2 linked regions of the Nothobranchius furzeri genome follow. The protein of the gene in region 1 purifies or fractionates together with the protein of each later gene. This does not show direct contact. Links are inferred from orthologs where the notes say so. Each region holds a gene or a part of one and is shown on either strand. Other genes may lie near its edges.

Region 1 (3,728 bases):
GTTTTCCATTGGTCTAAATGTAGTATACTTTAACACTTGTTTACTTCTTATATACACACATATAGCTGTTAAAACAATAGAGGATTTGCTTTTTTAAATTAACAATATTCCACAGGATTAGAAAAAAGAGGGAATGCCTCATGCAGAGAGGTGTTTATTATTAAACACAGTCCACCATGTTGGCAGAGTGTGGATTATTAATTAGCAACCATACAAGCTGGTGGGCATCATCTCCGACTTAGACTCATGAATGCATTCCTTATATCAGTGCTGATGATGCACTAAATAACTATTAACTAAAGGCCTTCAGGCACAGGGTGCAGAAGGATGCTCTGTTGCCCTTGGTGCAAAAGGATCACATGCTGTGAGTTTCCCTCTGGGTGAAATGAATGCTCGCAGGATTGAGAAATCTGACAAAGCACACAAGGTGTGCTGTTAATCCTATCTCCACAGGACCAGCACTTTTGAGGAAGCCATGTCTAAACTTTCGGACTAAAAGTACAACCACCACGCAGAGTCTTCTGTCTCCCAAATCTTCCAACATTTACTTCTGCAGCAGCATCTGCTCAACTGCTGGTACTTCCTGGATATTGGTTTAGTTATAACTTGCAGTGTTCCTGAACAGTGATGATAATACAACTACCTAATAATTAAAATAATAAAAATGACTTAAATTTAAAGCATACATTTTGACATAAACAAAAAGTTAAAAAAAAGTGGTATTATTTTAAGATTTCTCCCCTGGCATATTATTTTCATCAAGGAGGTAAAAACATGTTAAAACATTACGTTACTAACGATTGAACGGTTCAGCTTCATTGCCAATGCACTGATCTTTTCCATTACTACTAAGTCTAAACCTGGAAACTGTGGTAATAACATCAACTGGGACTCGCCCTGCAGGTCAAATATTACCTAAAAGAAATACAGTTACTTATGAAGGAAGCACTCGGTAAAACTAATTTCAAGCAGCCGCTTAATAACTCTCGTGCAACTCATAAAGCCATATAAAAAGCTCATGCACCAGACTACAAATGACAAGCACCTCAAAAAGGAAACAACAAAACATAACAAGGAAATAACCTGATCTGTGCACAGGTTATCTAAGCTTCTATCACTACACTTGTATGGTAATTAAATGTCAAATACACACGAACTCTGGTCTTACCTGGCCTCCCACCAGCTGCAACAGGGCTGTGTTGACAGGTAACTGCTCAATGTCAGTGCTGATGGCCGTCTGGTCAAAAGGACAGGCCTTACGGTGCAACTTGTTCAGGCACATCTTGCAGACAGTATGTCCACAGCCCAAACTGATGGGCCGGCGAACAGTCTCCTCAAACGTCTGCGTGCAGATTGGGCACAGCAGAAACTCTGTCCATTGTGGCGCTTGCACTGGCATGATTATATGTTGGTGGGTTGGGTGCGTGTATATTTAGGAGTTAACACAAAGAAAAATATAATAATTATATATAGATATAGATGTATGGAAGATTCCACTGGAATCGAGATTGTTTTCCGAACTTAATTGTTCTTAAATGTCCTCACACATTGTGGATGTTGGATCACATCTCGTGATGAATACTGTAAAAGAAGAAAAAAATGAATCAAAGTTGTAAAAACATTTCTTGAAATAACTTGTTTTGAATAAGAGCCAAATGCTTCTTTACAATCGTTAGTAATCTTTGTATGTGCCGACATGAACCATCAAAATATTACCATGATGGCTATATATGCATCTAGCAAAAATGCTCTAACCTAGAGGGTGGCAAAGTCGACAGCTAATGCTTTTGTGTCGACTTCTTTTCTGCAATTTCCATTTTACACTCGCAATAACAACTAAAATATCAGTAAATAAACACAATATGATTTAAAAACAAGGCCTACTGAACAAACGACAACAACAGCTGTGTGGCCTACTTAAAGAAGCTTGTAGCCTCTCTGGACAAAGGGTACAGAAAGAAGCTAACTTACAAGTCACTGCTATCAAACGCAATGAAGCTAACATAGTTAAGATACACTCTACTTCGAGAAAACTTAGTTGAATATAAACAGAATATATTGTTAACTTTGCATAAAGTGCTACAATGATCCACTTAAGACAATATAAATAGTAATATTAGGCGATGCGTTAGCTCACTTTAGCAATCTAAGCTATGGGTGGCTAGCTGACAATCGTAGCTAACAAAACGTAGTTGGATGAAAAACATTCGCTTCACAACAATCTCGAACCAGATGTTTCTTCGCTATTATGTAGTAGTTTTTCTAACGCTAATCACACATGTGCAGCTATTACAATATCAAAAACATCAGCTGCCACTCGTGTATAAATATACAAGGAAATGATACCTAGTAGAGACCGAATAAAACATTCGACTTGTATAATTATGTAACGCTAGTATCTCAAACTAACAAGTAGATATATTACCAAAAATGTATATTAACAAGATCCACTAACTAAATGGCGACACTTGGTAACTACAGAAATAGTCTTGGCCAAAGCGGCTGACTCGAACGCTTTTCTAGTGAGACAGCTAGCTGGCTAATGAACAAATGTTGCTCCTCCATGTTAACAGCAAATAACCATCGCTATGCGTCCGTGTGACTTTAACTAATCATGCAGCGCTTCTATCAGTTTCCGATATGATACCGACGACATTTTGTCGATAATACTCACTTATTCCAAATGAATTGGAAGTATCTCATCTTTCTTTACAAAACTGTTGCGATATTTTCCTGCCATGTCGACTGCGCAGCTTCGCTGCTCTTAGGGGAGGGGGTTGTCAATTCGAAGACAGACTAGCTTGAAGGTTGGTGTTGTGACAAAAAATGCAACCCTTCCGTAAAAAGGAACCAGTTACGCGAAGCGAATTTCTAGATGGCTTTATTCGCACATAAAATAGATAAAAATGAAAGCAAATGAACAGGACTGAAATTTTCATTTAACTTATTATGCAATCGTTGTTATTTATAAGAATGGACCCTCAGAAACAAAGGAAAAGCGAATATCACCATTCAGTAGGGATAGGCTGCCAGCGTTGGACCCACTATCCACTCTGTTTGGTATCATCACTGCGTTAAATATTTACTATATTTATAAGGTTTGCAACTTGTGTACGTGTGAAATATGTTTTTTTTACGTTTTTTTCTTTTTAATTTGCTGCATGGACGTAATTTTCACTTTAGATGTGGGGGGGACACGGGGGGGGGGGGGGATCTTTACAGTATGTTCTAATGGGAAACAGGCTTCAACACAAACGTTTCTACTTGGTCCTAGAGCTCAACCAGTGTCAATTTAATATAATGTAATATTGCTTTTGGATGGTAAAAAGTGCAGGGGTCAAAACTTGGCTTTGGAAAAAGTGGGGGGGACATGTCCCCCCTGTCCTCCCCCAAAATTACATCCATGATTTGCTGTAAGGAAGAAAACATGTGCCTTGAAAATTTTGTCCTGCGACGAGGGTTTTCTTTTTCAGCACGACACCGTTCAGGGCTGCGCGTGTGCGAGCACCATGGCGAGCACACGTTTACCTGCGTTCGTTGAACGCCCCCTATCGGCGATAAGCCGCATGCACAGCCAAAACCAAACGATCTCTTAAGTCTGGTGAAAACGACAGCAAAAACACTCAAATGTGAGTCAAAAGAAACATGAAACGACGCAGAGAATGAAAATGACACCACGGTAACGGTTTCTGATAAAAAAAAACTGATGTATTTTTTTCATGATGTCA
Region 2 (3,652 bases), on another chromosome or scaffold:
AGAGGTGAAGGTGGAAACGTTCAGACAGATTAGTTTATTAGGGGATTAAACTCTAATGAAGGAGTTCTGATCCTGTTGATGTGAAGAAACGTGCTTCCAGCTGCTTCTATTCACCACAGACAACTACTGGTCATACATCATAGCTCTGTCTGTGAGGATTTTAATACGGTGATTGATTACGTAATTCTCTTATTTGAAAACCCTTTTTTTTAAATCCACTATTTGAAATGTTTTCTAATGGGAACTCTTGCACAATAACCGTTTATGTCTACCTTTATAAAAATATTGTTCTCTGTGTGTAGGAGTGTTTCCCAGGAGTTGTCCGAGGCGATCCTTACCATGGCTGCCAACTGTAACAACGCCATGAACAAAGCTCGGCAGCCGCCACCGGGGGTTATGCCCAAAGGACGCGCCCCCAGCACCAGCAGCTTGGATGCCATCTCACCTGTGCAGGTGAACCAAATGATTCCTTGACATAGCTAATCTGTATTTTGAATCTGGAACATCTCTCTTGCTCTTGTTTAACCATTTTCTTCATGCTGTTCCTCAGATGGACCACCTGACTGCGATTGGTTCCTTGAGCCTGGCAGGAACAGCTACGTCCCACTCTCAGAGCATGCAGAGCTTCCAGCCTTCCATAAGTTCAACTCTCAATAACCCTCTGTCCCCTGCTAAAGCCTTCCCACCGCTCCCTAACCCTAATCCCAGCACGCAGTTTGGCGGAATCAGTTCCAGCTTGCAGCTCACAGGAATGGACTCTGGTACTATGATTTATTCCTTCCTTTTACACAAACGCGTCCATGCTAACCCTAGAAGTCTCAACTCCACTGACGCTGTTTAAGTAAACATGAGAAGAATTATTTGACATAACTTATAAGCTGACATAAATGTTAGATTGTTGGATGCATACAGTAACGAGGAACATTCACATCTGAGCAGGGTCACAGGTCATAGGCTGAGCTGGGGTAAACTGAAACCTTTTGTCTTCATTGCAGGTTCTTTGGGCTCAGGTATTAGTTCTAGCAGTGGCTTTAGTCTGGGAATGCCCACAGTGAGCACGGATCCATTCGGCACCAGGAAGATCGGCACATCGGCCTTGAACCCACAAACCTTTCAGCAGAGTAAGATGAAGGCCTGTAAGTGGTGGTGGTGGAGGTGTGACTGAGAGCCCCGCCCTGCGCCGCTCTGCACTGTATTTCCTCTACAATATTACTGAAGATTCCTACATTTAACTATTCGTGATTCACCATAAAAATTCAAAATCAACATACTTTAATTCAGTATCTGTGACAAAATTTTGTCCATTTCTATCAAACACTTGAAGAGGAAATACAGACCAGTCTGCTTATGCTGACGACCCCACTTCAGTGTGTTTATTCTGGTTTTCTGGCATCAAAAAGGTTTACAGGAGTTTCTGTTTAGACTGAAAATTCAACAGTTTAAGTGGCAGTTTCTTCCTTTTTATTAAAAATTAAACCATTTCAATTTTGTCAGTCTGATATTTCTAAAGGGTCTTTAATAAACTACATTAAATTAAAAATAGCATTTTCATGAAAATTATACAAAACCAAATCAGCTTGAGTGATGTCCATTATGAATGTTTATGTTCATCCGTTGTTGTGAGCACATCCTAAAACTGTGCCTTCTCTCCTCCAGCGGATCTCTCTCAGGTGTGGCCTGAGGCAAACCAGCACTTTAGCAAGGAGATAGACGACGAAGCAAACAGTTACTTCCAGCGGATCTACAACCACCCACCTCACCCAACTATGTCTGTAGATGAAGTAAGTTTGCTGCTGAGTTTAAGCCCGGTCTCAGGTGGACAAGATCTAAAATCCTCACGACTTCCCTGATGTTCAGGTGCTGGAGATGCTTCAGAGGTTCAAAGACTCAACCATCAAACGGGAGCGAGAAGTGTTCAACTGTATGCTTCGTAACTTGTTTGAGGAGTACAGGTTCTTCCCCCAGTACCCTGACAAGGAGCTGCACATCACCGCCTGCCTCTTTGGGGGCATCATTGAGAAGGGTCTGGTCACCTACATGGCTCTGGGCCTGGCTCTGCGATATGTTCTGGAAGCCTTACGGAAACCATATGGGTCAAAAATGTATTACTTTGGGATTGCTGCCCTTGATAGGTTCAAAAACAGGTAGTGAGAGCTTTCTTTAGTTAAATTAGCATTAATATGATTTATCCGGTCTTAAGCTGATGTGTTTGTTTTTCTAGACTTAAGGACTATCCTCAATATTGTCAACACCTGGCTTCAATAGCTCACTTCCTGCAATTCCCTCACCATTTACAGGAGGTAATCGAGTTTGCTTAATCCTTCGTCTGTTTAAAACATTATTTGGTGTGATTTTACAGAATGTGCCCCATTTATAAAGTTTTGTTTTTTTGGAATGTTTTGTGCGTGCAGTATATCGAGTATGGCCAACAGTCACGGGACCCTCCGGTGAAGATGCAGGGTTCCATCACCACACCAGGAAGCCTGGCGCTGGCGCAAGTTCAGGCCCAGGTCCAACAACCTACTGGCCTCAAACCGCCTCAGCTTGGACAGCCCAGCACCCTCGTCGTCACCACCACCACCACCACAACCACGGCAGCCAAGACGACAACTATCACAAGACCCACTCCCAGCAGCTTCAAGAAGGACATGCCTGTAGGCTTGACTTTGTGTTGGACTGAAACCTCCACATGAGTTTTATTTCTGCTCGTTAACGGTTTGTCTGCTGCTCATTTCCCACACTTGTAGCCCTCCATAAACACTACCAACATCGACACCCTGCTGGTGGCCACTGACCAAACAGAAAGGATTGTAGAACCTCCAGAGAACGTCCAGGAGAAGATTGCGTTCATCTTTAACAACCTGTCTCAGTCCAACATGACACAGAAGGTAAGGGAAAACATTATTGTATTAGACGAGTTTAAACACCAAAACCCTAAATAACCATTGATGTTTTCAAAGGTCGAGGAGCTGAAGGAGACTGTGAAAGAAGAGTTCATGCCATGGGTGTCTCAGTACCTGGTGATGAAGCGCGTCAGCATTGAGCCCAACTTCCACAGCCTCTACTCCAACTTTCTGGACACTTTGAAGAACCCAGAGTTTGTCAAGATGGTTCTCAATGAAACTTACAGAAACATTAAGGTAATGAACGAGAAACAAACTTTTAAGGCATCCTTTTATCTCATTTTGGTTTGTACTTTGTTTTTTTTTACTGTTTTAACAGACAGTTCTGTGAAAATGATGATGGTATGTATGTATAGGGCATCCAGGTATGAGCAGACATTTATAACGTGTGTCCCTGACAGGTGCTTCTGACGTCAGACAAGGCAGCTGCTAACTTCTCTGATCGCTCGTTGCTGAAGAACCTGGGTCACTGGTTGGGCATGATCACGCTGGCCAAAAACAAGCCGATCCTTTATACAGTAAGAATAGGCTTTAAGCTTGTTGGTCATCATGTAAAATGGTGTGTGTGTGTTTTTTGGGGGGGTCTATAATTATACTAAACACGTACTTCTCAGGATCTGGAGCTCAAATCCCTGCTCCTGGAGGCCTACGTGAAAGGCCAGCAGGAGCTGCTGTATGTTGTTCCGTTTGTGGCCAAAGTCTTGGAGTCCAGTCTACGTAGCATGGTGAGAAACCGACACCGGGTCCTG

The links. Proteins that work in one complex are often made in the same cells at the same time.
Region 2: the proteins of rc3h1b (region 1) and cnot1 purify together in Homo sapiens (affinity purification with mass spectrometry; 5 studies listed by BioGRID, with this or other methods). This does not show direct contact. The link is inferred for Nothobranchius furzeri from reciprocal best matches to the Homo sapiens genes RC3H1 and CNOT1.

The regions. Positions count from the first base shown.
Region 1 is NC_091751.1:54,522,455-54,526,182, reverse strand, and holds the start of rc3h1b (roquin-1), read right to left. Parts: upstream 2,833-3,728; 5' UTR 2,675-2,832; intron 1,582-2,674; 5' UTR 1,400-1,581; coding exon 1,169-1,399; intron 1-1,168. UniProt on the Homo sapiens protein: Post-transcriptional repressor of mRNAs containing a conserved stem loop motif, called constitutive decay element (CDE), which is often located in the 3'-UTR, as in HMGXB3, ICOS, IER3, NFKBID, NFKBIZ, PPP1R10, TNF, TNFRSF4 and in many more mRNAs.
Region 2 is NC_091744.1:81,584,552-81,588,203, forward strand, and holds part of cnot1 (CCR4-NOT transcription complex subunit 1), read left to right. Parts: intron 1-302; coding exon 303-453; intron 454-550; coding exon 551-761; intron 762-995; coding exon 996-1,136; intron 1,137-1,656; coding exon 1,657-1,781; intron 1,782-1,857; coding exon 1,858-2,144; intron 2,145-2,221; coding exon 2,222-2,299; coding exon of another isoform or gene 2,300-2,300; intron 2,301-2,401; coding exon 2,402-2,654; intron 2,655-2,747; coding exon 2,748-2,888; intron 2,889-2,960; coding exon 2,961-3,140; intron 3,141-3,304; coding exon 3,305-3,421; intron 3,422-3,517; coding exon 3,518-3,628; intron 3,629-3,652.